4 linked regions of the Oreochromis niloticus genome follow. The protein of the gene in region 4 interacts with the protein of the main gene of each other region in a pairwise test. Links are inferred from orthologs where the notes say so. Each region holds a gene or a part of one and is shown on either strand. Other genes may lie near its edges.

Region 1 (8,002 bases), on a different chromosome or scaffold from region 4:
GCCTGAGAAATAAAGAGCTTTGTGTTATTTCTGTTTGACCACAAGATGGTGTCACTCCTTCCACTTTCCCCAGCCGATTGCAAGCTATTCCTCCTTCATTTAGAACAATTATCTGTGATGGTCAGCCATTGTTTGTGTTCTCGTGAATCAGTCTTGAGCGAGTTGTGATGTATAATTTGGTTTCCTCCCTTTTATAAGAACCCTTATTTAGCCAGGAACTCCTATTAAGATCAGATCTTTTTCACAAGGGGGGAGTTGGCCAAGCAAGGCAGCCAAAAACATTAAAAATGCAAAAAGCTCAGAATAAAATATAAGTCTTGATGCATTCTCAATCATCCAGGAAAGTAAATCTCCAAAAGTTGAATCTGTTCATCTGGACGTAGCGTTTTGTGGGAGAAACGTTTCGTCACTCATCCAAGTGACTTCTTCAGTCTCAGCTGACTGCAGGTTTCCCCAAACCTTATAAACAGTACATTTGCATAATGACTGAAACCAGCCCACTGAAGGAACAATGGGCAAAAAGGCCAGGACTCTGCAGTCTATTTACACCTACAGGCCAGTGGACACTCTTTCAATGATGAGGATGTACACATCCTGGACAGGGAAGAACGCTGGTTTGAGCGCGGAGTCAAGGAGGCCATTTACGTGAAAAGGGAAAGACCATCTCTGAATCGAGGAGGGGGCCTAAGGGTACATCTTTCGCCATCTTACAATGCTGTGATTGCAGCCATTCCCCAACTCTCTGTGAATGGTACTCATGGCCATTGATCAGTGGTCTTTGATCAGTGGGTTTTGGTCAGTGATTGTTGATCAATGGTCATGGGAATTTGCATAATTATGATTAAGGAACTGACCTCACAGCCCATTGTTCCTTCAGTGGGCTGGTTTCAGTCATTATGCAAATGGACTGTTTATAAGGGTTGGGGAAACCTGCAGTCAGCTGAGACTGAAGAAGTCACTTGGATGAGTGACGAAACGTTTCTCCCACAAAACGCTACGTCCAGATGAACAGATTCAACTTTTGGAGAATAAAATATAAGATTTCCTATTTTCCTATTTAGTCTAAATACATAAACTGTTCAATCCTTTCAGTTTCTCATTAAAAACTTCATGCTTGCCCACACTCTCAGAATAACCATTTGGCAAGATGGTAAAAATACCTTTGAATGGATGTATTTTTCCCAGTTGGCTGCGGTCGTGAGGTCTCAGAATCTGCTCTGTGAGCAAAAGAGTGACAAGATCACGGAATCAATGGCTAATAACATCATGGAGAAACTCGCAGCTATCCAACGGGAGATTGAGAGACCAGTGTCGGAGTGTTAAAAACAGGTTGAAATTCTCATGAGTTGTTTGCAAAAAGAAAAATCACCATCATAATGCGGCTACCCCTTCGGCGCCAGCTGTGGGCTCAAGGCTGGAGCTGAACAAAAACTTCCTGATAACGACTGTGTTGAGTCTGTTCCTTCACATTCCATACAAGGCCACCTGGGTTGGCTGGAAGACTGTTTACTTAGCCTGGCAGGGCGAAGGACACTGTCTCAGCACTCACTGACGCATCACCCTCCCTACCCAACGCCACCTCCAACGCTTACCTCCCCTCTGATGTGGACATCGGGTCAGTTGGAGGCGCAGTCGAAGATTGCAGCGGTCCCAGATCAGATGTACACACTGGAACACTTTCCCATGTTGCTTGTCTGTGTTTATTGTGTTATGGTGTGTTGATATCTGTGCATTCCTGTATTATCCTTTTGTGTTACATATTTCGATGTTTTTTTCCTCGCTACCTGGCCTGACCTGTCTCCCCAATGTGATGTTTGTATTGTATGTACGGTCGGCAAGGTCTGTCATCTCGGTTGTGGGCAAAAGACTTGCAACTGACAAATAAAGGCTATCTCATCTCTCATCTCTCATCTCTCATCATCACAAATAAAGGAGTATGACTTTTGAATACCTGAACAGGGCCTTCCTTACATCTGTGATCAGAAGTTTACCTACAGTCATCACAGGCTTGGTAATTTTGGGCTTTTAATTAATTCTTTGAACTGTTCTTTTTCCAGGGTGAATAAAAATTATGTGCAGAAATTCACAAATTTGAATTTATTTTGGCATCTTTCTAATCTACAGTATACATACAGCATACAGGCTAAACTATATATAGACTCACCTAAATCTTATAATAAGTGATGTTGGAGGTTCTATGATGTTTTTTAACTTGACATTTATCTTATCTTGACCAGCTAATTTCTTGTTAGTTGGTACAAGTTATATGACTGTGTGAGTCCACAATGATGGGAGGTATGTTTGGACGAGTAAAGGCAAGGCTTTCAAACCTAAGATCACTGTACCAACTGTCAAGCAGATTAACATTAAGCCTCTGGAACGGCTCAACCTCAACCCTATTGAAAACAACACTTAAACGTTGGGTCTCTACCAGGAAAACAATCAATTTAAATGAACTCTACCAATTCTTCCAGGAAAAGTGGTCAAATATCCAGTCAGAATTATGAAAGAAGCTTGTGGATATTCTTTGGGGCCTTTTAGTTAGGGCCTTTAGGGCCTTTTAGAGAATATGCTTCACTTCTGATTCAATGGTCTTCTCCAATTCTAAAACAAAAGGCAGAGTCCTGGGTAGTTATCCCCTTGTGGGGTTCGTCCCCTTTAGAGATGGTCCTGAGAGTCATTGACCCCATGTGAGCCAATGTGTGAAAAAATGGGTGGGTTGTCACCATCAGTAGGGGTTAATGGTGAAACCACTTTGAGAGGTTCACCCAAATTATCATGTGACCTATTGAGGTCATCTGAGACGTGGTATGAATTGAAGCACCTGGGAAGCGATCCCTGGTTGTGGTAACGACCCACACCTTTTTTCACACAAGTACCCATATGATGACTCACATGATCAATAGAGGGTCAACGACCCTCAGGACCACCTCCAAAGAGGACAAACCCCACTAGAGTTAAATACCTGGTACTCTACATCTTTTGTTTTAGAACAAAGAAGACTCTTGGATGAGAGGTGAAATGTCTTCACAAAACCTAAAGAAGTCCAGTTGCCTTCTTTTTTCAATCTCCTAAGAGTACCATGAACTGGATGACTGAGAACCTACGCAGACAAGCTTGTTGATGGCTATCGAAAATGTCTAGTCAAATGTAACTTGCTAAGAGATATTAAATCAAATAATAGTAGGGGTGTATGCATATTTTACCCCTGCGTGTATACTTTCGATCCTATGTGTAATAGAGAAAACACATTCATCCCCATGGTGATTGTATGTAAACTTTTGACCACAAGTGTAATCTAGTTTCCCCAAAAAGAATTCCCGTTTTATCACTACAGGACATTTTCCAGTTTTAGTAGGAGAACTGCAGTATTACACACCTACAGTATATTGTGTTTTTCAGCTCGCCCTTCTCATCTTGCCTCAGTACTTGTTGAATTTGGTGATAAAGGGATTTAAAAGTCTTTCGAACAGGTTAATGTACATATTCGGGTCTCAATATTGCCTACTGTATGCATTTAATGCTTATTTGTTAATGGTATACTTCAAAATCCCCCCCCAACACACACACACACACACACACACACACACACATACCAAAGAAGATGTTTCTATGTATTCTATGTATGTATTTGCTAATTCAATCTGACATGTAATCAACATTTAAAGGACCGGGGAATTTTTAGCCACAACCCAACTGAAAATAGCGTGAAGTTAAATGGGGCAAATTCATTTCCAGCTTTCCTGTATTCATTTTGGAAATCCTTCACTGCCTTTTGTTTTATTGGCTCTCTTCATCTGTGGTTTTCATTTGTGTTGTTGTTGGAAACCTATAGAAGCTAAATCCAGGTGGTCAGAAATGCTAAATAGTAACTAATTTGAGGTTGAAAATTACATAATACGAAGTTGTTTTTAGGAGTCTCTAAAATCTGTTTTATTTCCTTTAGTTTATGATTAAGCTGATTTGACTTGGGTCATGCAGTTCATGGATCATAATTTCTGCTAGTTGTACTGTAACACCTTGGCAGTTTGGGGGCTCATTTCATAGTATTTTTAGCATTTATAGTTTTATTTTAGTTATTTTATTTGCTTTAAATATCTTGCTTTTGTCTATATTTTCTCTGGAGCCACGTGTGCATGTGTGTGTGTGTGTGTGTGTTTTTTTTTTTATTTCCTGCAAGACCATAATAAAAAAAACTAATAATAATAAAAATGAGGTGCAAAAGTTCTTTGACCGTGCTGAACTTCAGAGCTGTGAGGCATCATATGTGTAGTTGGAAAGAACCTCATTTAGATATTAAAGAAGGTAAATCACATCATTAAAACTAGCCCACGCTAAAGCATGTGGCATCATCAAAAGATCAGGACTGAGATTGTTTTCGTGTATGTGTGTCCGCGCATTTGTGTCACAGCCACAGACATGATGATGAGAGCATGTCTGGGGGCCATGCATCTGTCAACATTTTCCATCTGCCAGTCCGACTCTAGCTGCCTGCAATTAACCCCTTACAAAAACCACAGCTGACTTTACTGGCAAAGCAGTCATGCATGGTACAAATATTTCAGGGTTTTTTTCTTATAGCGTCACCAGGGTCTGACGATGGCAGATTCTTCATAGTTTATATAAGTGTAAACATTGGAGACAATAGAACATTATATTTAGATTATTCACTTTTCTATGTTTTGTTTTTTTCACAAGAAATCCTTGTGAAAATATGTCACACAGTCTGCTGCGCCAACTCCTTTCCATCGGGCGGCGATAATGCGCCACTAGTTTGGTTTTCCTGCCGTCAGTAGGGGAAAAAAACGCGAACAAAAGCAGGGGGAACGCGGTAGTTTCTAGAACAAGTGTTTCCTGTCGACGTTATTTGGTGTGAGGACGCTGTTGGCTGATTCGCGCTATAACAACAATAAGTTTTGCTGTTTGGGGGCTTTATTTTGGACACAGTGATGGCTGTACCAGGTGGGAATTATATTTCAAATGTGTAACTTACTTAACTTCGCAGTTTCTATTGTATTATTCATGTAGGTTTCGCTGGAATGGTAAGAGCTGACAGGGTAACTAATGCATTGGTAACACAAAGTGGGGCTTACGTTTACGCTAGCTTAATGTATTTTTAAAAACACAGACCCTTTGATGTGAAGTCTGTGCAATGACTAACCCAGCGAGAAACTTGGCTACGTTTAGCACACGTGGTTACATGACGGGTGATGTACAAATTGGCGTAAAGCAGAGTACTTGTAAATGTCCAGATACTCCATATAAACAGTCATGGATTCGATTTTAGTACTTTTTGTTAGGATTAACTCTTGTAAGTAGCATTAGGCTTATCACCTTTTTGGTTGAGTAGAGAGAGTAAAATAATAATAATAATGATAATGATAATTATAGCAATAAATCACACAACATATACACTCAATTAGTCACTTTATCAGGTACATCTGTTACCCTTGTTGCTTTTTAAAGTAAATAATCAATCAGCTAATCACGTAGCAATAAGCTGGTGCATTTAGTCAGGTCGACATGGTTAAGGTGAGCTGCTTAAATTCAAACCGAATATCAGAATGAGGGGAAAGGTGATTTTGAGTCTGCTGTGGTTGTTAGTGTCCGATGAGCTGGTCAAAGTATTTAAAGTCGGTAAACTCAGACTAAACAATCTATGGGGTTTTGAATGGAATGAAGAAGAGATCATATCCAGTGAGTGGCAGTTCTGTGTAAAATGCCTTATTAATGCCAGAGGTTAGAGGAGAATGGCCAGATGATCTGGAGCTGATGGGAAAGGAACAGCTATTCAATCAAGGTATGCAGGAGAGCATCTCTGAACGCACATGTGAACGTACATTTTGAACCCTGACACAGAAGAGCCCACAGCAGCAGAAAACCACACAGGTGAAAACTGGACAGTAGCTGATTTGAAAAAATGTTGCCTGGTCTGATGTCACTGCAGCTGTCAGATGGTAGGATCAAAATTTGGCATAATCAACTTGAAAACATGGATCCATACTGCCCTGTATCAGCAGTGCAGACTGCTTATGGTAGTGTCATGGTGTGGGTGATATTTCTTTGGTACACTTTGGGCCCCTTTGTAATCCAACAGCCTACCTGAATATCATTTTTAACCATCCACCCCTTGATGTCCAAAGTGTGCCCTCCTCCTGATAGCTGCTTCCAGCACTAGAATGCGCCATAACTCTCAAATAATGTCAAGCTAGTTTCTTGAAGATGAAAATGAGTTTTCAAATGGCCTCCATAGTCAGCTGATCTCAATCCAGTAGGACACCCTTAGGAGATTCACGGCACAAATGTTCAGCCGACAAGTCTGCAGTAACTGTGTGAAGCTATCATGTCAATCTGGATCAAAACCTCTGAGGAATGTTTGCAGCACCTTGTTGAAGCTTTGCCATAAAGAATTAAGACGGGTCTGAAGGCACAACGCAGTCCAGCCCTGCACTAGCAAGGTGTACTTAATAAAGCAGCTTTGAGTGTATACCTACTGTATGTTTTGGGTGCTTAAAAGTCAGAGTAGGGGCTCATTCTTTATCACCCTTTCAGCACTTTATATAGAGCTCAACCAGTATGTTCATCTTGTAAAGGCATATGCATTTAATTACAGGTTTACATAGTAAAGTAGTTGGTGAATGTGAATGCATACTTGCATGTAAATCATTAAAAAGCTCTTAACAATCTTACAGGACCTAATAAGGACAACATCAGAGCTGGGTGCAAGAAATGTGGCTATCGTAAGTAAAACTAACCATTATTTACTACAAGCTTCAGAGATGTGTGGATGTTATACTGTTATGCTTGATATGCTCCCATATTTACTCAGTGAAAAAAGATTTATAGATTTATACAGTTGGGATGGAGTCTGTTTTATGGTGCCTCTTACCCAGCCTTTGAGCCAGATTTATTTTGGAAGTAAATTGTAATTATGTTATTTATTTATTTTTTGACTTATTCACATTTCCTCTTATGAGTTTCAAGGTTGAGGTTCAGAGATGTTAATAAAAAGTGTCCTCACCGCTCTTTCTGACTTTCATCTTTCAGCGGGCCATTTAACATTTGAGTGCCGAAATTTTGTTAAAGTGGACCCTCATAAGGACATTGTTCTGGATGTGAGCAGCACCAGCAGCGAGGAGAGCGAAGATGACGAATCTCAGGTTCAACGCAGCGAGAAGCGAAGCGGGCAGCATCAAAAAGGTCAGATTTGATTAACCTGCCCTTGATTACTGTAAGCTTTTAAAATATGCATTCATTTACTGCAAGGCAATTTGCAATAAATATAGCAGTTTTACATAATTCAGCATCCAGTCAACATCAATACAAGCTGGAGCTTGAGTAAAATCCAAAGTGTGGATTTTTGCAATTGGACAGCAGTTATTTTATTAGCTCTTTATCTTTATTTATTTATTTTTGATGAGGCCTCTTAGTTATGAGATTAAAGGTGCTGCTTTTGCGTGGTAGGTTCCCATGACAGCGATGATGATAGAAAAAGAAGACGAAAACGGAAGAAGAGCAAAGAGAGAAAGTCAAGAAAGAGGTAACCTAAATATTTTTCTGATGGCCCAATCTACTTGTTTGCACATGTTCATCTTATATGAGTTGATGTATTAAGATAGAGCTATGACAGTGTTGTAACATACTTGTACTCCACTGCAGTCATCCTTGTATTTATAGTACCTGAGTATTTACTTGCACTATTTGCACAAGTCAGACTCGGTATATATTTATTACCTTTGAAGCTTATTCGCCTGCTTTTCTGAAATGAAAGTGTGTTTACCTTCATAGATAAACTGAGTTGTTTGATTTGTTTTTTCTTTTAATACTCTAATACTCTTTAATATATATTTACTTAGATCTGATTCATCATCGAGCGACGAAGAGGAGGTTTCAAAAAAGAAAAAGAAGCGCAGCAGGTCGCGCTCTTCCTCTGATGAAGAGCGTAGGAAGAAGAAAAAGAAACTAAAAAGCCAAAAGAAGAAAAGCAAAAAGAACAAAAAAG
Region 2 (7,318 bases), on a different chromosome or scaffold from region 4:
CTGCAGGTTCATCTCGTTGCTGTCACATACAGTTGTGGTAAGAAGTTTACATCCACTCATCATGGGTGTTAATGTCATGGTAAGTTTGGACTTTTAATGACTTTCTTGGATTCCTTTTTTTTCTCCCCTCTATCCCCACAAAGTGTCAAATGTATGCATACATGCTTAAATAATATACATACACTCCCTTAAATATTTTAATAAGTGGCATTGAAGGTTTCACAATGTCTTTTAACATGAAAGGTCAAAGCCTATTAACTTATCATTAGTGATCATGACTGACTGCAAGTGGTAGTTTCTCTTTGCCAGCATAAAAAGGATTTGGCTTACAGCACTCACTGGATTGTAGGGCTGCACGATTAATCGTTAGAAAATCGCGATCTCGATTCATACTTATGTGCGATCTCATTTCCAAATGACAACGATTTAAAAAAAAAAAAAAAAAAAAAAAAAAAAAAAGGACGACGATTGTACCGCATTTTGATCCAGGACGTAATCTGCATGAAAACAAGCGCTCACCCTTCCTGCTCAACAAATGACATGGGCGGAGCCTTATACCACGTGATACAGAAGCTGTGCAGTGATGCTCAAATTGGCAGGGAAAAAACAACGGAGAACACGTCAGGGATGACGAGAAAGTAACAGGAGAAAATTTGTGCCGGTCAACCACCCAAACATCAATAACGGGAACCTTATACAGCGCTTCCCTATACACGTCGAACTCCCGCAGGCTCAAAGAAATTACGGAGGCTATTACTTATCACCTGACCAAAGATATATCAACACTGTGCAAAACGAGGGATTTAGGAAAATGATCAACACCCTAGACAAACGCTACACAGTGCCGTCCCACAACTATTTTTCTATTGTTGCACTACCTGCTCTATACACGCGGTGTCGAGCAACGGTGGAGACAGAATTTCAAGCAGTACAACATTTTGCGGCAACCACAAAATGTGAGGCATTTATTGTTTTTATTTTTATTTATTGTTTTTATGTTCAGTTTCAACTGTTACGAAGTTGATGTGCAGTTAATAAGTGCAATAAATATTTATATTGGAAAAGAAAATCGTGAGAGAATCGTGATCTCAATTCTAGGCAAAAAAAAAATCGTGATTCTCATTTTATGCAAAATCGTGCAGCCCTACTGGATTGAACTGGGAAAGCCCAAGGAACTTACTGAAGATCCACAGTAAGAAGGAGAATTCCAGTTTTACACAAACTGGGAAGTTGTATTGGAGAAATTTTATTCAAATGTGTCACCCAGGAACAACTGAGGAACCACCAACGCTCGATCCCGATGATGAACTGGAAACTGCTGGAACATCAGCATCACGGTCCACAGTGAAGCTAGTTTTACATTGCCATAGACTGAGAGGGTGCTGATCAAGCCTCTGCTCCAAAATCAACACTTTCAAGCTCAACTGAAATATGCTGCTTCCCACATGGACAAGTCAAATGGCTTCTGGAGAAAGGTTTTATGGTCTAACGAGACAAAAAATTGGTGCTATTTGGCCACAACCACAAGATGTATGTTTGGAGGAGTAAAGGTGAGGTTGTTAAACCTAAGAACAAGCATGGTGGTGGTAGCATCCTGCTCTCTGGCTGTTTTCGTGCAAGCGCTACCTGTACATTGCACAAAGTTGATGGAATAATGAAAGTGGAGGACTACTTCCAAATTCTTCAACTTCCCCTCAAATCAACAGCTAAACATTTGGAAGTTGGACACAATTAGATGTTCCAAATGGATAATGATCCTGAGCAAACATTAAAACTTTGTTTTTTTAAATGGGGGGGGGGGGGGGTCCAAGCTTCTGGAATGGCCTTCCCAAGGCCCTGACCACAACCCTATTGAAAATTAAAAACCAGGTCAGTGCTAGGAAACCAACCAATTTAAATATACTCTTACAATTCTGCAAAGTAGAGTCCTCAAATATCCAGCCAAAAATCTGACAGTAGCTTGTTGATGGCTACCAAATGAATCTGGTTGAGGTGCAACTTGCTAAAGAACATTTAACCAAATATTAGTGGAGGTGTATGCGATATTTAAGCCTGTATATATACACTTTTGATGCCATGTGGATTAGAGAAAATCCAAAATAAATTTAAACCTGTTCTTGCTTTCTTTTAACGTCATTAAAGATGTACGCTGTACAGTAATCCCACCCTAGAGAAAGAACAGATCAAAGAAATCATTAAAAGCCCCAAATTTCCATGACCACAACTGTAAATGTTCATGAACTTTACAAAAGTACAGCTTTGTAGTTGCTGAAGAAGTTGGAAGTTTTAACTTCAGCAGTGCTTTAAAGGTGCTTGTTCTACAGTGAGTAAATATGCAGAGTATATGAAGATGGGCTGACCTCCTATTCTTATGAATTTAAATGCTCATTAAAGAAAAACGGTAATGAAAAGAAGCACCACCCTGCAGTTCTACTTGCTCAAGAAGAGATGAAATCATTTTCACGTATCAGAATAAGTTCAGGTGCAAACTCGAGACCAGTGATAAATGGCTGGGAAAAGGAGAAAAAACGAGCATCAGCGGGAGATTCCTGTGTTGCAATTCAATGCAAAAATATTTTCAATATTTCCTCACAGACACTAAAATGCGGCAGACTCAAAAATCCGCCTGACTTTTATAAACAAGTGAGCGCAGAAACGTGACAGACACCCGACATTTCATTTGTCGTTCCTGAAACAGATAGTGTGACAACAGTGGCATTCACGGCCTCAACCAGCCTTGAACAGGCACCCTCTACAAGAATAAACAAGCTAATAATGATGTAGAGCACAGACTGGCGCACTGGAGCTGCGCTCACTGTTCACCGGCCCCTGAGTCTGACACAGAGCTCGAGCAGCTGAACCTCACTGCTGTTCAACAGCCTGTAGTACTCACGAATATACAAAACCCACAGCGATACAGTCGATTAATAGTATCATACTCACGCTTGCCTCCTGGCTATTAATCTATGCATGGGAGTCGCCATGTTGCAGGTTACTTTTTCTTCTTTGTTGGCGTTAAATCAGCGCGTATTTCCGGTCCAATCAACTCCGTTATCGCCTCCTATGGGTAAGGATGGTCTACTGCATGTATTTATAATCATTAAAATTTAATTAACAGCAGCCCTGACGTTTTGGCTAGTGGTTTTTTTTTTTTTTTTTTTTTTTTTTTTTTTTTTTTTTTTTTTTAATAATACTGTGCAAAACTCTTGAGCAACTCCTCATCATTCTTGATATTTTGCTTCTAAGAAACAGGACATTATTGTAAGTGGTCTTGAGCAATAGTTCTGCATGCTTCCTGAATTCTGTCAAAGTTTTCCTTTGGACATTCACTGTTATTTTCCCTGTTTCAGTCCAGTCTTTGTATGTAACCATTTCCTGAGGAATGTTTTGTTTTTGTTTAATACACTTAACTCTGACCTATTCAAGCATAAAAAAGCCATCTAAGGGATAAATGAGTATGGTGCCCACACAGATCAGACAATTAAACACACAATTTCAAATTGTATATTGTTAAATTGTAATCGACAATTACAAAAAAAGCTCTCTTCTGCAGATGAGAAGTATCTCAAAGTCATCCTTAAGAAACAGGACAAAATCCAGTAAAGACCTGACACTGGCCCTTCTCGTAATCCATCTACTGTTTGACGAAATGGTCTCAGTGAGTGTCAAGAAGCCATTCTTAAGAATGGGAAACAGCCTGAGGTATGCTAAATTAGAAAAAAAAAAGTGGTCTGAAAATCAGAGTAATTTGAAATTTATGAGTTGAATCGTCATCAGTTTGTGCAGAAGAGGTCAGGAGAGAGGTACAACTGTGAGTGTCTGCAGAATCTGTAAAACAAAACGCAGACATGAATCTCCACCATCATGTAAATCTCATGGTGTTGGAGATCTTGTTAAAACTGATAAATTATGACTGCAGAAAAGCACAGTCAGAGTTTGATCCTCCACGCAATATAGTCTGGAAAGCATGACAGTGATACCAAACGCACTGCCAATACAGCAAAAGCATTATCCAAATATGTGTACAAACTCACAAACTCAGTTTTTTCTTGTATTTTCATTTGGTTTGAACATCTTTCAATATCTTGGTGCATCGATTTCCTATGTTTCAAACAAAATATAAATAAATGAGACTTTAGTGCAGTACTGTGATACATGTGATTCATTTATACTACATTAAAGGAAAAAATGTGCCTCACATAATAATGTTACGTTTACAATCAGCATATAATGGGATATAAACATTCTGTTTATCATAGTTCTCCCCAGCTTCTTATTTCCACTTTCTGTGGAAACAGTTACTGAGGTTAAGCATTCAGTTATCTGTCACCAACACAGTGCACACTTTCAGCAGTCAAGTGTCATCACACCCACCCACATTTACGATTTGTCAGAGCTGCGTTTACATGTCATCAGCTCTCTTTTCTGTTTCATAGATTCTTAAATAAATGACATTTTGTTTTTGCAAACCAAACCAAAAAAAGTGTTATGTCAGCTACTATTTTATACTAATTATTTATAATGATTGGTAATTTTATATCATGAAATTTACTAAGTATTAAAGGAGAACGTATTTAAAAACGAATCTTTTTCAGTAACAACAACTTTTAAAATGGCTATGCTTTAGTTATTTATAATTAATTTGTTTAATGTTATTATATTTTCTTATTTTCCCGACGACTTCGTTCTGAGCTGGGCCATTTACATTTTTTATTTCTAATGAAATAAAAACAAAAAAACAAAAGGGGACAAAAAATGACTTCATCACTTTTTGCATCACAGTCTATTTTTGTTTCCCCACCCTGATTCGATCCCAGAAATCATCAAGCTAGTCATTTGTTGATTTCAGTTACTGTCACGGTAAACCTTAAACTTAGAGGTTATTTTTTTTATTAAATAAGAAGAAATTTATGGAGTTTTCTCCCTACACCTCGACTGTTGGAGAACAGTCTTTCACGTGGATATGGAAAAGTCCAGAGAGCTCTAGAACCATGTAAATCTCGCGATGTCTGCGGGCGAGACGTTAGTAAAGCAGACCTTGCCGCTGCAGCCTGCCAGCACACATCAGAGACACCGGCAACAATCAGCGGTGTGGATTATGAGTAGAAGTATTTAAGACAGAGCAGCTTAACAACTTCACTTGACTGGAGCATCTTTTTTATGTTTTAAAATCTAGTTACAGGTTTATTTTCTTTACAGAAATCATACTGTATACAAAGCTAAACCTAGGAGACACATATCGCTGAAGATGTCAGTGGTGGGATTTGACTTGGGCTTCCAAAGCTGCTATGTAGCTGTAGCCCGAGCTGGAGGAATCGAGACAATCGCCAATGAGTACAGCGACAGATGTACACCGTAAGTACCAAGTAAAATCTTATTATAGTTTGTGAAGGATAGCTACAGAGGACAGGTTTTCATTTATAAGTGTTGTCTCACCGGCATCGCTGTAATACACGTGAACGCAGCTTCTCTGCTTTCAGCGATCATTTGTGCTCATTGCTGGGAAATTGAACTGCTTTTCCGTGTAAGTTAGTGACACATTTCTCAGCCTGTCTATGGTGAACATGGAACCATCTAGAAATTAACTCATAAGGCGCACACCACCTTCAAAGACCGATTATGAAGCTCCGGCGAGCTAAGCAAGTTAGCTGAGCTCATAGTTTTATTAACGGTAATGACAGTCTCGAGAATTGGTGTGGCTTCGCCGGTTAAAACACGACCGGGCGGTGTTTGCCACCTGTCGTTTTTAAGTAGTGGTACTTGTCTTCAAGGCGTAAGCTCCGACCAACCGGTGTGCCCCGTGTGGCAAATTGTACGCCTTGCGTTATGCTCTGTACGATGACGACAGCGGCCAATCTCTTGTTGGAATATTCTAGCAAATTTTTATGTCTTTTTGCCTTTTTAAACGGTGTAAGGTTATATACTACTTATTATATGAAAAACATATTGTTATCAGAGAGGTTGTTTAATATTGTTTGAGTTCTGCTTATTTGGGTTCATGGCGCATTTTGTAATTCCATCAGTTAGATTTCAGTCATCCTGACTGATTTTTAGTCTTTACAGTATTTCCTCTTTTGTAAGAGTTTAACGTTAATATAAAGCAGACAACAGTTACTGAATGTTATACACTGCATAAGTACAGTCACTGGTTTTGAATGATTAACTGGTATATTTATAGATGTATCATTAAAATTTAGAATTTCCTCCCAAAGAGTAATAATCAAATGAAATAAGACCAGTTATTATATTGTAATTTATTTATAACGTTTGTATTAAACAGGGAAAGAAAAAGATAACATTAATGCCCAGTTTATGCTTAGTTGTGCACCTACTACTAAGTCAGAAAAATTTCATATATATAAAATGGGTTTTACGTCATGGTTATATGAAATATGTATACATCATTAAGTTGCTGTCTTTATTGTGAATCAACCTGGACTTTTTAAAAATTATTTAGTTTTATTCAATTTTACAAGGCAAACGTGTGTCAGAGAAGTAGATCATGTATAAGATAATTTGGTGAATAGAAAGATTATACATCAGTTTCTTGGTGTGTGTTTATATATTACACGACAAATTCACATTCAGAATTTAAACACAGAATCTCATGTTGAATATTCGTAACACACTTGGTCTGTAAAGGCTTATACTTACTGAGTAAAAAGAAAACAAATACTTTCCTGGTAACTTGCACAATGTTTTGTCTGTTGCCCACATAAATATGTTGCATTAAATTTTGAAAAATTATGAATATTGGACATTTTTTGACAAATATTGAACTGTTTTTGTGAACTTGCTCTCTACTACATCATAAACATCACAAGCATCACTGTATAAAGTCCTTTGAGTGCTCAAATAGAATAGAAAAGCACTTTATAACAACCAGTCCATTTACCATACAACTTCCTGTCCTGCTCTTGATTGAAGATCAGCATCCGCTGAGTGACTCTCCTCAGAGACGTGTATTGTTGACAAATCTTAGACATCACCACACTCCACTTGTGTGTTCATAGCAACGCTTGCTGTGTGTCATCAGCATCTGTGTTTGATAGAGATGGTGATGAGAGGCAAGCCCTGTGTGATTTAAGTGGACTTACCACACCACTTCAGCCTGTGTTTACATAGTACAGACAACGCAAAACTTAAACAAGCCAGTCTGGAGCCTCAGTCCAGGTTTCAACAAGGATTATTTAGAAAAGTGCTGAGATCAACTAGTTAAAAATTGTGACCAGTGTAGATTGGCCACTGAACTATCATGTGAAGCTCTGCTAGTTGTGTCATTAATGTAGCTTAACATTTTGACTTGTGTGTGTCCAGG
Region 3 (7,811 bases), on a different chromosome or scaffold from region 4:
TTCATGTTTAAAAACATACATGAACTGTCTAAACAATATAGCCCACTTTACTAGCTCAATATATTCCAAGATTGCATTATGTTTTAATATTCATATTTAATATTTTAAACTTTACCCACATCCCATTCACTCAAATCATTGTCATTTTGGATTATTTTATTTGACTACATTAAATTTCACAGGGATGTATGAACTTTTGATACTCATTGTGATTTCTAAAGACGCCCAAAATCTTACGTTTCACCCATGGGTGCCATCTGTTTGGGGTTTTATATTTTGGTCCTCATCTGAAAATGGTAATTTCATATCTGCGACATGAAACACTGTGATGCCAATAAATTGCACTGTGTCAAACACCAAATTACATTTCTGTGTTGAGAGGCACAACAAACCTTTAGTGAGTTCTAAACTAGGAAAGCCAGTGGGCGACACAGCTGCTGAACAGGAAGCCACATTTAGCGCATGTTGCAAGTTGCTTGACAGGCCCTAAACAGATTCACCACAGTGGTCTTTTGTAACAGAACGTACTGTACAATGAAGGCAAATGTACATGAATGAAAAACGTAACTAAACTGCATTCACATATAAAAGCTCTCACATTTGTTGTTAAATTGAAACAACAGCAAACATATGGATCTTGGGGAGCAGCTTACGGTAATGTAGTAAGGGCAGTTCTCTTTTAGGCCTTTGTGTGTCACAGTTGAGAATCTTGATAGCTTTGTGCTCATACGGCTTACAGGTGTTTATGCTTCAAAAAAACTTTTCCAGTGCGATCAATGTTCATTTTTAACAACTAAATTGTTTAATATGGAGTCCTCCAAATGAGTACAAGGAGCACAAAATAAAATAAAATTTTTCTGTCATGGATTTTTCTTTATTGTGTTTCCTCCATTAAATAGATTTTTAATTTATGCATTTTTAGTGGCCCGTGTTACTTTTAGTCTTTGAATTGACAGCCACTCAGAAATTAAAGGAGGAAATAAAACGTCTTCACAATAAATATTTAGATTCAAAGGTTGTTCGCACACTTGCTCATTTAATTTTTCATATAGACTGAAATGTCTTAATCTACAAGTGGAAAAAACATTACAGAATAATAATTTATAATTAATAGATAATTTAATTATCTAGGTTGTATTTATGTTTTGGACAATGCGGATGTCTTAGTTTGGCATCCTAGTAGCCTTAAAGGTTTCTTCTCTGTTTCTATACAATGAACATGAATGAACACAGGGAAGACATTTTCATTTAATCGTCTGAAGGATATTAAGATAGGTTTTTTTTTTAAAAAGGGTCAAGATTTAGTATGTTTATTCTTAAAAGTCAGGATATCCGTGTATCCACCACAGGGATTCGTGGCCCGTAAAATGTGAACCATAAACAGAATGAGAGACTTTGCTTTTTCATCCTCAACAATTGTTTAAAAGTGGGAAATTATAAAACACAGATTACCATGTCCTCTCACAGTATATGTGGGAAATATTAAAATACATTTATTAAAAAAATACATTTTTAAATGATGACTTGAACTCAATATTAGGGGAATGAAGAGCAAGAAAGTCATAATTCTATTAGCAATCAAAATACTGGTTTATATTTAAAGTGTTTCTCAGAACTGTATCACAAACTGTGAAAGTTTTTACAAAAAAATGTGACTTCAAACTGTTCACGCTTTAACAACCATGTTTAACGCCTTTTCTTTCCCCTGAAAAAAATCCATTCGAATCCCTTTAGATGTTGGCAGCAGAGCTTTTCTGGGAGCCTTCCTCAGGTGGTTTGGTCAGCAGATAGCAGGTGTACATACTGCTAAGTTACCTGTGATGGCCCAATTTCCATTCTGGTAAAGTTTTGGCAAATATTTCCCTCATCTTTTACTGTCCAGTTTTTATCTGACATCTCAGTGGTATGTTTTGCCAAACCTCTGTAGATCTGTGAGGCGACAAACGCAAAGTTCAGCTCTCTGGTTTCATAAATTTGCTCTGCAGGAAGACTCTGGGTACACAAAGTCCCTCCTTCTTGTTGACAGTCTCTCTAAGAACATAGTCATTAGCAACGCACTTGAAGCCCGTCTTCTCAAACAGCTCAGCCAGGAACTCTGAGGGCAGTTATAAAAAAAAAAAAAAACAAGGTTTAGGGATTTTCTGATGTGTCATAAAAAGATGAAATGCATAAAGTGAGCCTTCTCTACTTGAAAAAGTTATCTCAACAAAGTGTGACCTAGGAAGGAGAGGTCAATGTTCTTGCATATGAACGTGCTGATATTCTGAAATAAAAGGTGTGAAGCCTCAATTCACACATTTCTAAACCGGTAATATATATCTATCTAATTATACAACTAAGCTAAGTTAGTATCAACAAAAAATAACTTCCTGAAAATAAACTACTGACCTTTAGAGAAAAAGTAGGACCTAGTTCCATCTTGGCGTACATAGAAGTTCTCTCCCAGCTTATTTCCGGATTTAAATCGGAGCATGGCATGGTCATAAAGTCCGTAGTCCCTGAACAGGACAAATCCTCCAGGCTTCAGCACCTTAAGATCACATGCAAATCACATTAAACTATTTCAATCTGACTAATGTGGCACATTAAAAGCATATCTAGAAATTAACCACCAAATACATCATCAGATTAAAGGCTTCTTTCAATGAAACATTTATTTTTATCCACATTATGAGTACAGAAAGGAAGTGCTTGTGTAGTTCCAGTAAGAGAGAACTCTCCCACCTATCATAACATTTCATTTAAACTTTACAAGCTGTTGAGAGTACAGACTTATACTAAATCTATCCACACGCCATGTCTGCTCTCACCCTGCTAATGTTCTCCAAAACCAGCTTCATTTTGTCAGGATGGACAGCAGACAGGACGAAGATGAGTGTGATGACATCCACGCTGCTTTCCGGCACATTTTCCATCAGGTCATCTTTAGTTAAATCACACTGGAAGGCACAACAGCGGTCGGGGCAGTACAGAGGGTTTTGCTGTCAACACAAAGAAAACAAAGGAAAGAATTTTATTTACAAAATTAAGTATTTTTCTTTTTCTCTTTATGTTGATTCCAAGAGAAGAAATTCTGAAGTCCCTCATATTTTTCTCTAACAAGGGAGCATAAAATCAAAATGCTGTCAGCTGGTCCACTACAGCAGCTAACTATATATCCCATGTATCTAAAGCATATTTTAGGGATCCTTCAGTAACCAGTAGCAAAATAATGAGATTGCATTCAATGGATTCAGCCAGTACAAAGTAGTATTACAGCTGCACTAATAGAGCTTACTCTGACAAATTCAACAGCTCGTGGTGAGAAGTCACAGGCATAAACAAAGATGTTGAGGTCATCCTCGAGCAGAGGGAAGATGCAGTTTCCAACACCACAGCCTGCCTCCAGCAGCACCAACTTCTGGGACTCAAACTGCAAGCCAGATGGGACAAAGACAAATTAAAAATAGACACAAACACAAGGTATTAGTCTACTCATGTCTCTCAACTCAGCTCAATAATTTTTTAATAGTGAAACTCCAACAACTCACTTAAAAACTTTTACAATATCCTTTATGCTAAATTACTTTTGAAAGTTGCAAGCTTTGTGTTTTAACTGACCTCTAAATATCAGCTTTACAGAAAACCATTGACTTTATTAGGTGGTAATTGAGTAACATGAGAAACTACACAGCTGATAATCTAAAGTCATGTCCTGTGAAGCCTCAATTTTTCTTTGAATTGGCAGTGGAGTTTAGCAGGGTGTCCATTGTACACATTAAAATCAGTCATTTTTTATCTATTTCACATAATAACACATGCATGTCAGTCATACAACTCAAATATTTCAAAACAGACACGGTAAACAGTTACATTTAATATCCTGTAAAAGTGCCTCCTCTGGTGTCATCTGTTGTAAATATTTCCTCACCTCTCGGCATGCCTTGAGCTCTTCAAATTCCCTGGTGGTCCAGTGTCTATCCTTGAAGAAATTCGTTGTGTTTCTTTTGTAAAACAAGTCCCAGTTTTTCTGCGCTTCTTTCTCCAGCTTCATCTGTTTAAAGTCAGACACCAGAGCCCGCTCACCGTTCAGTCTTTCCTGCTCCTCCAGAGTTAAAACCCTGGCAGTGGGGGTTTTCGCTTGGTCTTTCGACTCCTCTTCTTTTCCAGGATCCGTACAGTTAATATCACCACTGAAAATCCCACTTTCTGACAATGCCATGATAAACTGCCCCAAAGTGTCTCCACCTTCTGTTTATACTCGTTTATGGAAAAATAGACTTTTCAAACATGCTAAACCCAATTAACTGATTAAGAGTTTTATTTTAAAACAAATTCGAGCGTAGCCGTACTTTTTCCACATTTAATGCATCCATGTTGTCCGTTAACTAAATTATGTCGTGTAGTCTTTACTACTTAATTCCGTTTCTCATCGAGTGGCGCGTTTTCTATAATTACTCGTTACTGAGTAAATTAAAGCACTGGAAATATTTTCATGATTTAATATGTAGTGAAATGCGTTGTTTTTTATTTGAAAAATCTTGTACTTTACTAAAACAGGTGAAGTTGCTAACACAGCCCGCTTTCGGCGATATTTGAGAGCCGGACCAAAAGCGGAAGAGGCGTGGCCACGTGATGTTTTGCTAACTGTTAGCCACAGCAAGCTAACTTTGTGTTGTAGTTGGCATCTTATTTTGATCCTGCTCAACTTGCCAGATTGCTCTCGGCTCTTCGTGGGATTTGACCTAAATGCGAGTTTTAGTAACTATTAAACCAACGGAGCCATGAACGGGAGCACGAATCCGCTGCTGGACAAAGAGGAGCATGTTTTGAAGCTCGGAGAAAGCTTTGAGAAGAGGCCAAAGTCTTCCTTTCACACCATCAGATGTAAGTGTGACAGACTGCGCGATGTGTTAAATAAAACTTTGGCACCATACAAAGCGCACTGTTAGATTACTGTTGTGTCAGACTATCTTTCTCACATGGACGGAGAGGCTGTGTCTTACACAGTCTGTGTATGGGTAATTACATGGAGAAAACAATTAAGTAATTATTTGTTGGAAATGGTGTGGCAGCATTATACACAATGAATTTTATCTTTTTACTCCCCATTCTCAGGTTTTAAATCTGCGTTTATCGGCTCATAATCTTTCGATATTTGTTTAAGAGACATAATAAAATGTTTATGTAATTATAATTACCTACATACAGTGTTTCCTAAAGCACCTGATTAAATTATCTGTTGTATCTCCTTTTCAGATGACTTCAAACCAGCATCGATTGACACAAGCTGTGAAGGAGAGCTTCAAGTTGGGAAAGGAGATGAAGTTACCATAACACTACCTCATATTCCAGTAAGACTGCATGATGTGCACGTCTTTCTGTAAATTAAGCAAATAATAAAACAACTTCCATTCTTTTAGCATCAAATTCTTTACCCTTAAATACTGACTGAATTGGTACTACCAGGAAGTGTGGCACTTGCATGTTAGATGAATATCTGTTCTAATTCTATACTGTGCAAAAGTTTATAAACACCTTTTCATTTCCTTTTGCTTCCAAGCTGTGAGACTTTCTTGTAGTTTTTTTAAGTTGGTTTGAGCAATACTTTTCCAGGTTTCGTCAAGGTCTTTTTGAGTGTTCTTTTGCTTGTTTTTTGGGGGGGTTTTTTAAACACTGGCATTTTTTGCTCCTTTCAGTCCAGTCCTTGTATCATTCATTGTATCATAAGATAAGATAAGATAAGATAACCTTTATTAGTCCCACACGTGGGAAATTTGTTTTGTCACAGCAGGAAGTGGACAGTGCAAAAGTTATGAAGCAAAAATTAGAATAAAATAAAATAAGAATAAATACAGTACACAACTGTACAGAATAGAATAAAATAAAATACTATATACAGTAGAATAAAATAGAATAAAATATACAATGAGATAAAAATAGAGTACAAATGCTATATACAACTGAGTAAAAATACAACGATGCCAGAAAAGATTATTGCACATTAGTGTTATTGCACATTTGTGGATGTGTGTGTTTGATCAGTTAAAGTCTTTATTGTGGAGTCTGACAGCAGTGGGGAGGAAAGACCTGCGAAATCTCTCCGTCCCACACCGTGGGTGCCGCAGCCTGCCACTGAAGGAGCTGCTCAGTGCTGTCACAGTCTCATGCATGGGGTGGGAGATGTTGTCCAACAAGGATGACATACCATACCATTTCCAGAGGGAATTTGTTTCTAGCATTGCTAGTATTTTATGCCAGTCAATTTATAACAGATTGCCTGGCTTAAAATACCATAACATTTGCACCAATCAGGTGATTCCCAAAGAGCTATTAGGTGTATACATGGCATATCTCAGCATGGTTTGCAGGGAATCCTTAGAAAATTAGTGGAAACGTGAACATTTAGAAGATAAAAGAATAAGTGGTAGGCCTAAAAAAAACAAAAAATACAATCTACATCAGATGAACAAAATGTGAAAGTTGTGTCCTTAAGAACAAGTTGTGGATTGACCTGGACCTCAACGTTATTGAAGCAGTGTAAGATTATTTTGACAGAGAACAAAACAAAAGGCAGCCAACATCCAAAAAAGAGCTTTGAATGTCCTTCAGGAAGCATGGAGAACTATTCCTGGAGGCTACTCGAAGAAATTACAAGAAAACTTACTTAAGAGAGTTCCGGCTATGTTGAGGAATAACAGTGGTCATACCAAATACGGATTTTCAAGCTTGTTTGATTGTACAAAGTCTGTTTTTACCTTAGATACTACATATCTATTTATGTTTGCACATTTAGAAATCCAGTATCTAAGGTAAAAACAGAGTTTGTACAATCAAAGCAATTCAAACTGAAGTCAGTGAGTGAGTCAGTCACACCAGGAATAAGGGATGGCTCAAGACTTTTGCACAGCACTGTATAATTATACCTTCTTGCACTGTTTTAATGTAATAGGGTCTGGCAAAATTAGCCAAGACTGTCCATATTTAGTCCATACATTTTCTTTTTTTTCTTTCAGGGCTCTACCCCTCCCATGACAGTATTCAAAGGAAACAAGCGGCCATACCAGAAGGACTGTGTGCTCATCATTAACCACGACACCGGGGACTTTGTACTGGAGAAACTGAGCAGCAGCATCCAGGTCAAGAAAACTAGGTGAGATATCAGTGATTACAAAATTAAGGTTATTGAAGTGGGAAGTTCAGGCTGGCTTCTATGTTACTCTTAAATATATCCAGGTGAAATCACATCTGTTGTGTGTGTTTTACAGGGCAGAGGGCAGCAGTAAGATCCAGGCCCGGATTGAGCAGCAGTCACTTCGGTCCAGCCAGCCCACCTCTCAGTTTAGGGCCCCCACTAAACCCGGGGCTGGGATCAAAACCTCTCCTTCCCCGTCTAAGGACAACCCCTCCCCAGAGCCTCAGCTCGATGACATCAAGAGAGGTAAGGAAGGCGATACACGCCCACAGCTCATAATAGAAGAGTTATTTGTGATGTTAATCCCTTAATAAAGTTTTTTCCTTAAACACACCTAAGTATCACATAGTTCTAAATAAATATTAGGACATTACAGTTTGTTATAAACTATTTTTCAATAAATGCTGAATGTCTTTGTGTTAACTGTGGCAATTCCCTGCTGTTCTTAACAGAGCTGCGAGCAGAGGTGGAGGTGATAGAGCAGATGAGCAGCAGCGGCAGCAGCAGCTCCTCAGACTCGGGCAGCGCCTCAGGGAGCGGCGATGACAGCAGCAGCAGCGACGGTGAGCTTGAGACCCCCCGACCCCTCAGCCAGACGTCACCCAGCCGCCACCCCATGGCCAACGGAGGAGCTGAC
Region 4 (7,731 bases):
TTCCTTTCAAGAATCATTTGAAGGCATCATTATGGTGCAGCTGAGCCAAATCAATTTGAGCCTCAAGCTGAAGCTGCAGCTCTCAGAGCAGAGACATGTATACTGTTCATTCTAGGAAAGCGTTTGCCAACCTTTAATATCAACAAAGTCATTCGTGAACAACTTTTGAGAGACCAGCCATTTATGGGTCTACATCCATACTAGCCACTGGTAGTGAGGTTCAGCAAAACTAGGAGTAAGGTGTCAGCTGATAAACATAAACTACTTGTGCATTTTTCAATTCCATCATAACATTCATGCAGTTTGTGTTTTTTTCCTGGTTAGAGCCACGGGGAGCTAATGGAGAAGGGCAAGAGAGCTACAGGCTTGAGACTCCCAGTCAAGGAGTAAAAGTTTCCCTCCTGACTGTACGAATGTGCAGAAGATAATTATTAAAAAAAGGTTTAATTCAATCCAGTTCAATGACAGAAACCACTAGTGTCATCTGCAAACACTGCTGACCCATATGAGAGTCTGAAGGACACAAATCCACTCCTGTGGTGCTTCTACACCTGTAAAATGCACAAACTGGCCCAATAATTAAAAAATATTCCATGGAGAATTAGCAACATATAGCATAAGTTCCTGTGAATCGTTAAGTCTCAATCAGGGTATATTTGAAAAAAGGCAAAGTTTCAGAGTCTTGCTCCAGGGCTGGGGTGTCTGGCATTAGATGGGTTATTAGTTAGTAACGCAGGTTATGGTTAACATTAAAGTGAACAGTTAATTTCAGCCAAGTTTCTTTCCAACTCAGTGGCTAAAAAGTATGAGTAATGAGTAATACAAAATTTCATATTTATAATGTCATATTTTATGTCTAAATTCAAGCATGATCCAAACCACTGTTCAACAAAAATATTGGTATCCAAATGAAAATACTTTTTTCTCTGCCTCAGCTACCCAGTATTTTAAGGCAAGGGGAATCCTTTCACAGCAAAAGAAGAGGGCAAGTGTGGAGTGGAGCACACCTGCAGTAAATCAAAGAAGTCTTTAGGTGATCTTCAGGATGAACGACTGATAACAAAGAAAAAAATATGTTTCTCTTTGGTAGAAACAACATAATATATATATATAGAAAGCCTAAATCTGTCAGTTGCTTTTGAGCCCTCACAAAGACCTGGTATGCTTGAATAGATGAGTATTTAAAACTACCAGAATAAGAATAAATAGAACCAGAATAAGTGCTCCCCAGAATAAATAGAACATTAAAATGAATACATTTAATTTTACTCGCTTTGCACTTCCTAAAAAGTGCAAAAAAAACCATTTTCTTGTCTTCTTTGTTGTCTATAGCTAGAAACAAACTTCAAAAAACGAATCCAAAACTGCAGTCATCCTGCCAGGTAATATCCCCCAAAATTTGTTGGCAAAACCAGTACTGTCATTTTTCAAGAATACATTATGTAACAATTATTCATGGTGTGCTTTCAAAATCTGTTGCCCAACTATTAAAAATCAGCAAGTTCATGTGTGTGGAACCAACGTACCTGACATAGAGTACCTGCCCTCCTTCCACTCTCCTCTGCCAGCCGATGGGGACGTGTATTGCAGTGGTGTGGACCCCATCCTTGTCCCCACTGACAGTATCACTGCCTCCCATCATTTTGTAGCCTGCCAGCACCTTAAAAAGCAGGAAGTGTTAACACATCTTGTCTTTTAACATAAGGAGGGGGGTAACATGAAGGTATCATGTAGTAACAGTTCAGCCTGTCAAGAGTGGACCCAGGGACTCTGCTTCTAAGGAAAGTTTAACCCTTGTGGTATCCCCTACTGCACAACTTTACTTAAGCACACGCGAAAAAACATCCAATGCTAAAAGGGGGGAAACAGTTGTTTAGTCTCAGCATCTATTTTGGGTTTCAAGCCATCTATCCTGCCCCCTCATCCTGCTATCTCTACATTATCCGGGTTGTCAAGGGTATCTATACTAAAGCCTCCATGAACCAGATGCTTACTCATCCCCACCACTTTCATCTGGGACTTTTTGGAGTCTAACTGGAAAAATAGTTCAATTTGTCATGCTTATGCTACAATAAATTTTGCTCTTCTCTTCTGAAAGAGCTTTCCTCATTTAACTGTATATTGTGCAAGTATCAGGGAAGTTCACTAAGCCTGAGTGAGTCACTGAAAAAAGTAAACACAAAAGATGGGTGAATGTTTCTGCAGTAAAGATCTTGCGATCATTAATGTTTTATTTCAACCAACCTGCATGCTTAATGTTGAGGTCACATTCAGCTTATTACACAACATCAAATATCGATGTCGGATATCAAACATTACAAAATGTACCCTATGCGTGGTGATGAAATCAGCCAAGATCTGAACTAAAGTAAGCAGCATGAACAAGGGAAGCACTGCAAATTAATTCCACTCTACTAATTCAGCATCATTTCCTTTACTTTTTAGCTATCATCTGTGTGTCAAAAAGTTCTGGGAAAGTACCCTGCAGTTTCTTTTCTTATGTCTGTGCTGAAGATAATACAAGCCCCTAGAGAATGAATGTGATGTAAACATGTTGAAAAGGGGGAGTGGCCACAGCAAAAGAAAGGTTTTTGGTTTATTATCAATGTAAAAGTAATACCAAGACAAACAAAAAGAAAGTTGCATACCTTGTCATCTTTGGGAAGCCAGGATCTGTTTTGGCTAGAGTATCCACTGTCCAGTGTACATGCTGGTGGGTTAGAAGCACACTGCCAGTAAAACCTGACTTGCCCAAACACCTCGACTTTCTTCAGCTATGAGGCAGATCCCTCACTTAAAGGATGACTCCTGCAGATTTATTAGTTCAGTTCACATCAGAGTAGGGATGTGGGTGAAGGTGGAGAGCCTGCAAAGAAAGGTGGAGGTGGATTATGTAATCTGGCAGCGACCCCCGCGGTAAAGATATCGTGCAATAAACCTATTCTGTAACTGATATGATCTAAGCGTGTTTGAAAAACGACTACATCAGATGTATTAGTCTTCTCCAGAAGAACTTCAGAGTAAGCTCTAGCTGCTTTGAAGTAGAAGGGTGTGTTTGCCTAGGCCCGTAGTTTACTCAGTGTTTAGCGACAGTATAAGCAGCTGCAACAACCAACTCCGAAGCGAACACCCTGGCACATGAAAGAGCAATTAATATAGCTCTGAACTGATGTATCCTTTTTTTTCTTAATTTTGTATCATAAATTGCGTAAAGTATGAAAAAACATCCCACAAAGTACACGGCTCATACACGGCAGCTAGCGTCCAGGCTAACAGCTAGGCTAGCAAGCTACCCTACTTTGTACTGTGTTGTCGTGACAGCTGTCAGGCGCACAAAACACTCCAATACAAAACTCTTGCCCGTTAGCTGCAGTAACAACATACGACCCACGCACAATACCGCGTTGTGAAAAAACCTCTTATAAATCGGATACCTACATCACACTTTACTTATTGATATCCGTTAGCTAACGTCAATAGTAGCAGGTCCTACCAACCTTTTCTCTGCGTCAGGCTCTGTGTTGGCGAAGTTTTGGAGTCTTGGCTTTTCTGGCTCGCGGGAGAATCAAGAGTTAGCTGGCTAGCAAACGGGCTAGCCAGATAATGTTTTGAAAACGGCTGATACTTTAATAAATGAGCGCAAAATAAGTCATTGTGTAATCCAATTCCCGCAGCGGTGTGCTCATTCAGCTCTCAGCATTCATACAACGTCTGCCAGTCCGACTTAAAAACAAAGGGCAATAACGCTTCATTTTACTGCGCCTGGGATCTCGGAGCTAACGCTGCAACCAGCTAGGCTAGCTAGCCAGTCAGCTAACTGACTGAAATTTACTTGATTGTGGAGTGTCCCGACAAGACTGAAGGATGTCCCGCTCCCGGTCTGCAGCTATCCGGCCGTTGTTTTGCTTTCTCTTCTGCTAAACCGTGGAGCTTTCAAATATATTCCGACAACCATAACGGCCCATGTAATCCCCAGTTCACAGTTGCCCACTGTTTTTTTTTTCTCACAAATTCCGAGCAAAAAATAATGGAGTTTTTACTGTTGAGCATGCGCATTAGACGCTTAAGGAATATTGTACCCGACATGCAACGGGACCTTTGTAGTGTTCCAGACAGACCTGAATGAAGCTGTGTTCAGCTCCTTGACAGAGGACATGATAATGACAGAATAATAACATGTGTTCACTTGACAATAGTGGATTCACTTCCGCCTGTCTACACTGCATTTGTGGCCCATATCACGAAATTTAAATGAAAAGTTAAACATACTCTATCCATTAAGGCATGTACATATATATATATATATATATATATATATATATATATATATATATACATATATATCTGTAGTAAAACATAGTAAGGGGCATATCATAACTGTATAGCACAACGATAATAATAATTAATATGCACAGAGATACAGCATGATATGGAATGCTTGGATGCTTAGCAGTGTTTCTGTTGTCTGTGAACAAGTGGGACAAGGGGAAAGAGATGTATTGAAGACAGAAGGAGAAAATGTATCTGATTTCCCCCCCGTCATCGGTGCTCAGTCCAAGGTCCTCAGCTGTTGCAAAGTGTCAGCTTGACATAGGACCGCTAAGCCTGGCATGCACACAAGCACACACCCAAAATCATAGATACACAACTCCAGATATACACTCAAACTACAACCTAAAGTCACTTTGGAAAATATCTAAAGAAGACAGAGGGACCAGACTTTGTGACAGCCCAGCATCCCGAGGGCCTGAAGTGAAGCTGCTTTGTAACATACTGACCATACAGGGCTCTGGTCATTGCCAGCAGGTGAAAACCCATTCACTGAGATTTTGCCAGCACACCGGATTTATGATTTCTTCAGTGCGATCTGTACAAATTTAGACAAAAGGTAGGTTATTGCTGTAGTTTAAAGAATGTTTTTAATGGAAAAAAATGTTTGTGCATGACCTGTGTTATAATCACTCAGTTTATTTGAATTAATTTGAGTGAAGTTCCATTAGTTTTAAAACACGAGCTAAACAACCCCAACTCTGAGATTATCTCTGTCAGTTTACAAACTATGATTTTTTTTTTTATTTCCATAACATTTTCTTAATTTTTAGTTGCTTTTTTCCTGGCTGACAGAGGCAGCCAAATTTAGCTGTGATGAGATTAAATTTCACAACCCTAGAATAGTATAGAAGACAAGCACATTCTAACACTGTGTGGATATGCAAGTGCATGTAGCGTTCACACAGACACAGAAATATATTTTCTATTGTATTACCATATTTGATATTTTTTTAAATACATTTTTAATAAAAAACCAAATGCAGGCTTATTTTCTAATATTTCTTTAAACTTCCCTCTAAGAAGTTCAGGAATATGTATTTGATTTTTCACCTACTTTGAAAACAATTTGACATAATAGTGCATATGGGCTAAGTCATTCAAAGTTTTGAGTAAACAAATAATTAGTAGAACATTCTCTCATGATATCACTTTTATCAAACTGTCTCATCTTTCGGGAAAAAAACCCACCTAACTGTTCACTTTCTAGGTGGGGGTGAACTGACGCTGTCTACATCAAACCATGGATCCGTAAGTATAATTCTTAAAATCAATATACTTGCCTCTTGATACTCATTTTATTGGCTTGGTTGTAGCACTTCTTTACCATTTAAGTCTTAATTCCATTTCCTGTTTACTAAATACTGAAGTAGCCCATGCCAGAAAAATATTCTGGAGCATCATCTGTGTCTAAAGCAGCTCTATGTCCACTTGAAAGAATGTGCGGCAAGGATATCCTTAAACAAATTGAGTCGTATATTAAATTGCCACGATTCTACTATTTTAAGGTGGAATGGGAGTTTTACTTTACTTGTGTTTTTTTAAAGTTTGTTTATAGGCAAAACCTTTTTCCTCGCTTTATATGCTTACATGTTCCTTTAGAATAAAAAGTGATCATAATGTTGAGAATAAATAAAATAACTATCTATAGTCGCAGCAGTTAACCTCACTCATGGCTGTGTGTGTGTGTGTGTGTGTGTGTGTGTGTGTGTGTGTGTTAGGGACGATGACAAAAACTCTGTGGATATCCATGACAACCCCCCAGCTCCTGACAATGTAGTGAGGGAGGACGGAGACACTGTGAGTGACAGCACCATGTCAACCCCCCGCCATTAGCAGTGCCATTCTTGGGCTGTTTAAAATAGCCACCAACTGGGACAGGGTTGCAGTGCAGCATCAGCTGGAAACAATATGAGCTTAAGTGTCCCTGTCTTATACAACCTTATGGAAAAAATGAGCACTGCTGGCTGATCTGGATTAGTCATCGAAATGTTATTCACTAGGTCCTGAAAAGCTAAATGTAAGACAGAGATCAGGTACCAGCTGATAAACAAACAAGGCAAGACACTAATGTAATACTTCATAATACTGTGTGACATTGACACTGGCAGCTCAGTATGTTTAACATTTAAAAACTTTAATAACAACTTATATAACAACTCTATCACATGTTTGTTGTTGGGGGTTTTTGTCTGAGATATGTCCCTTGGGTCTGCAGGTCTATTTCATATATGAGGAGGAAGTGGAGGTGGAGGAGAAGGAACCAGAATCTCCTTCAGAGCCCATCGTCCGGGTCAATGACAAACCCCACAAATTCAAGGACCACTACTGCAAGAAGCCCAAGTTTTGTGACGTCTGCGCTCGCATGATAGTCTGTAAGTGCTGTTTTTTATATTAATGTTATAAATAATCAATCATCATATAATCCCATAGGTATTTGTTCTAAAGATTGAGACTGTTAATTTTGGTTCCTCATCTTTCAGTGAACAACAAATTTTGCCTGAGATGCAAAAACTGTAAGACCAACATCCACCACTCATGTCAGTCGTATGTCGAGTTTCAGAGGTGTTTTGGCAAAATTGTGAGTTTGCTGGTGTGCACTGGATATGAAACTATATCTGCAGTTTCCTTTTACTGCCCTCGAGAGTGAGAGAGATATATTTTTTAAAACTTTTATTAAAAACTTTTTTTCTTCTTTCCTGTAGCCACCTGGATTCAGAAGGGCCTACAGCTCCCCCCTGTACAGCAGTGACCAACCAGACCCAAGTGAGTCCACTGAATCTGGCATGGCAATATATCTCTTGTGTATCTAAATTTCTTAACCTTAAATTCAAGGCTGCTACCGCAAAGGAAACTAAGCACGGTGTCTGCATTTCCTCTTTAGCAACACTTACGATCATTATATTTGACAAGGTGCATTTAAATATTTTTAAACTTAAACATGCTTGAAATGATTAATTTAATGACATTTTTAAAGAACAGTGTAAAGCAGACGCTCAAGCAACATTCTGACCTTTGTGTTGGGAAATAATATTTCTTAGAAAAACAGCAGAATGTATCAATGTCACTATAACACTGATCCTTTTATCCCAGTGCTTCATACATTTAGTTAACACTAAAATAAGAAACCAAGTAAAGTGAAACAGCAAACTCTTTTTTGTTTATTTTCCCTCCGTAATTCACATTCACTTACCTTCACTTTGTTATTTCCCCTGGTCCTTCGTGCAGCAACTGCAGTGGCTCCAACTGCTAAATATTAGTGATTTAATAATAAGAAGAATTTATCACAAAGGTCATGGTAATTTTAGCATTTTAATTCTTTGATTTGTTCTTGTTCCAGGGGGAAATGATTGTACAGCATACACCCTTAGTGACTTGAAAAAAACAATAATTGGGTGCACA

Evidence for each region.
Region 1: the proteins of stac3 (region 4) and srek1ip1 interact in binary tests that used the Homo sapiens proteins (3 or more experiments, as listed by UniProt). The two-hybrid records come from large-scale screens. The link is inferred for Oreochromis niloticus from reciprocal best matches to the Homo sapiens genes STAC3 and SREK1IP1.
Region 2: the proteins of stac3 (region 4) and zcchc10 interact in binary tests that used the Homo sapiens proteins (3 or more experiments, as listed by UniProt). The two-hybrid records come from large-scale screens. The link is inferred for Oreochromis niloticus from reciprocal best matches to the Homo sapiens genes STAC3 and ZCCHC10.
Region 3: the proteins of stac3 (region 4) and eaf1 interact in binary tests that used the Homo sapiens proteins (3 or more experiments, as listed by UniProt). The two-hybrid records come from large-scale screens. The link is inferred for Oreochromis niloticus from reciprocal best matches to the Homo sapiens genes STAC3 and EAF1.

The regions. Positions count from the first base shown.
Region 1 is NC_031980.2:34,248,958-34,256,959, forward strand, and holds the start of srek1ip1 (protein SREK1IP1), read left to right. Parts: upstream 1-4,803; 5' UTR 4,804-4,949; coding exon 4,950-4,962; intron 4,963-6,692; coding exon 6,693-6,740; intron 6,741-7,047; coding exon 7,048-7,200; intron 7,201-7,464; coding exon 7,465-7,540; intron 7,541-7,856; coding exon 7,857-8,002. UniProt on the Homo sapiens protein: Possible splicing regulator involved in the control of cellular survival.
Region 2 is NC_031975.2:20,408,346-20,415,663, reverse strand, and holds the start of zcchc10 (zinc finger CCHC domain-containing protein 10), read right to left. Parts: upstream 3,079-7,318; 5' UTR 2,985-3,078; coding exon 2,944-2,984; intron 1-2,943. Other genes in the region: hspa4a (heat shock 70 kDa protein 4a), read left to right, coding at 5,249-5,355, 7,318-7,318.
Region 3 is NC_031976.2:30,462,676-30,470,486, forward strand, and holds the start of eaf1 (ELL-associated factor 1), read left to right. Parts: upstream 1-4,623; 5' UTR 4,624-4,763; coding exon 4,764-4,866; intron 4,867-5,238; coding exon 5,239-5,333; intron 5,334-6,995; coding exon 6,996-7,132; intron 7,133-7,247; coding exon 7,248-7,420; intron 7,421-7,626; coding exon 7,627-7,811. Other genes in the region: tRNA N(3)-cytidine methyltransferase METTL6, read right to left, coding at 1,953-2,095, 2,389-2,530, 2,811-2,981, 3,278-3,412, 3,911-4,201. UniProt on the Homo sapiens protein: Acts as a transcriptional transactivator of ELL and ELL2 elongation activities.
Region 4 is NC_031984.2:24,444,824-24,452,554, forward strand, and holds the start of stac3 (SH3 and cysteine-rich domain-containing protein 3), read left to right. Parts: upstream 1-4,575; 5' UTR 4,576-4,888; intron 4,889-5,539; 5' UTR 5,540-5,572; coding exon 5,573-5,580; intron 5,581-6,050; coding exon 6,051-6,129; intron 6,130-6,547; coding exon 6,548-6,704; intron 6,705-6,812; coding exon 6,813-6,910; intron 6,911-7,034; coding exon 7,035-7,095; intron 7,096-7,731. Other genes in the region: mbd6 (methyl-CpG-binding domain protein 5), read right to left, coding at 1,527-1,642. UniProt on the Homo sapiens protein: Required for normal excitation-contraction coupling in skeletal muscle and for normal muscle contraction in response to membrane depolarization. Required for normal Ca(2+) release from the sarcplasmic reticulum, which ultimately leads to muscle contraction.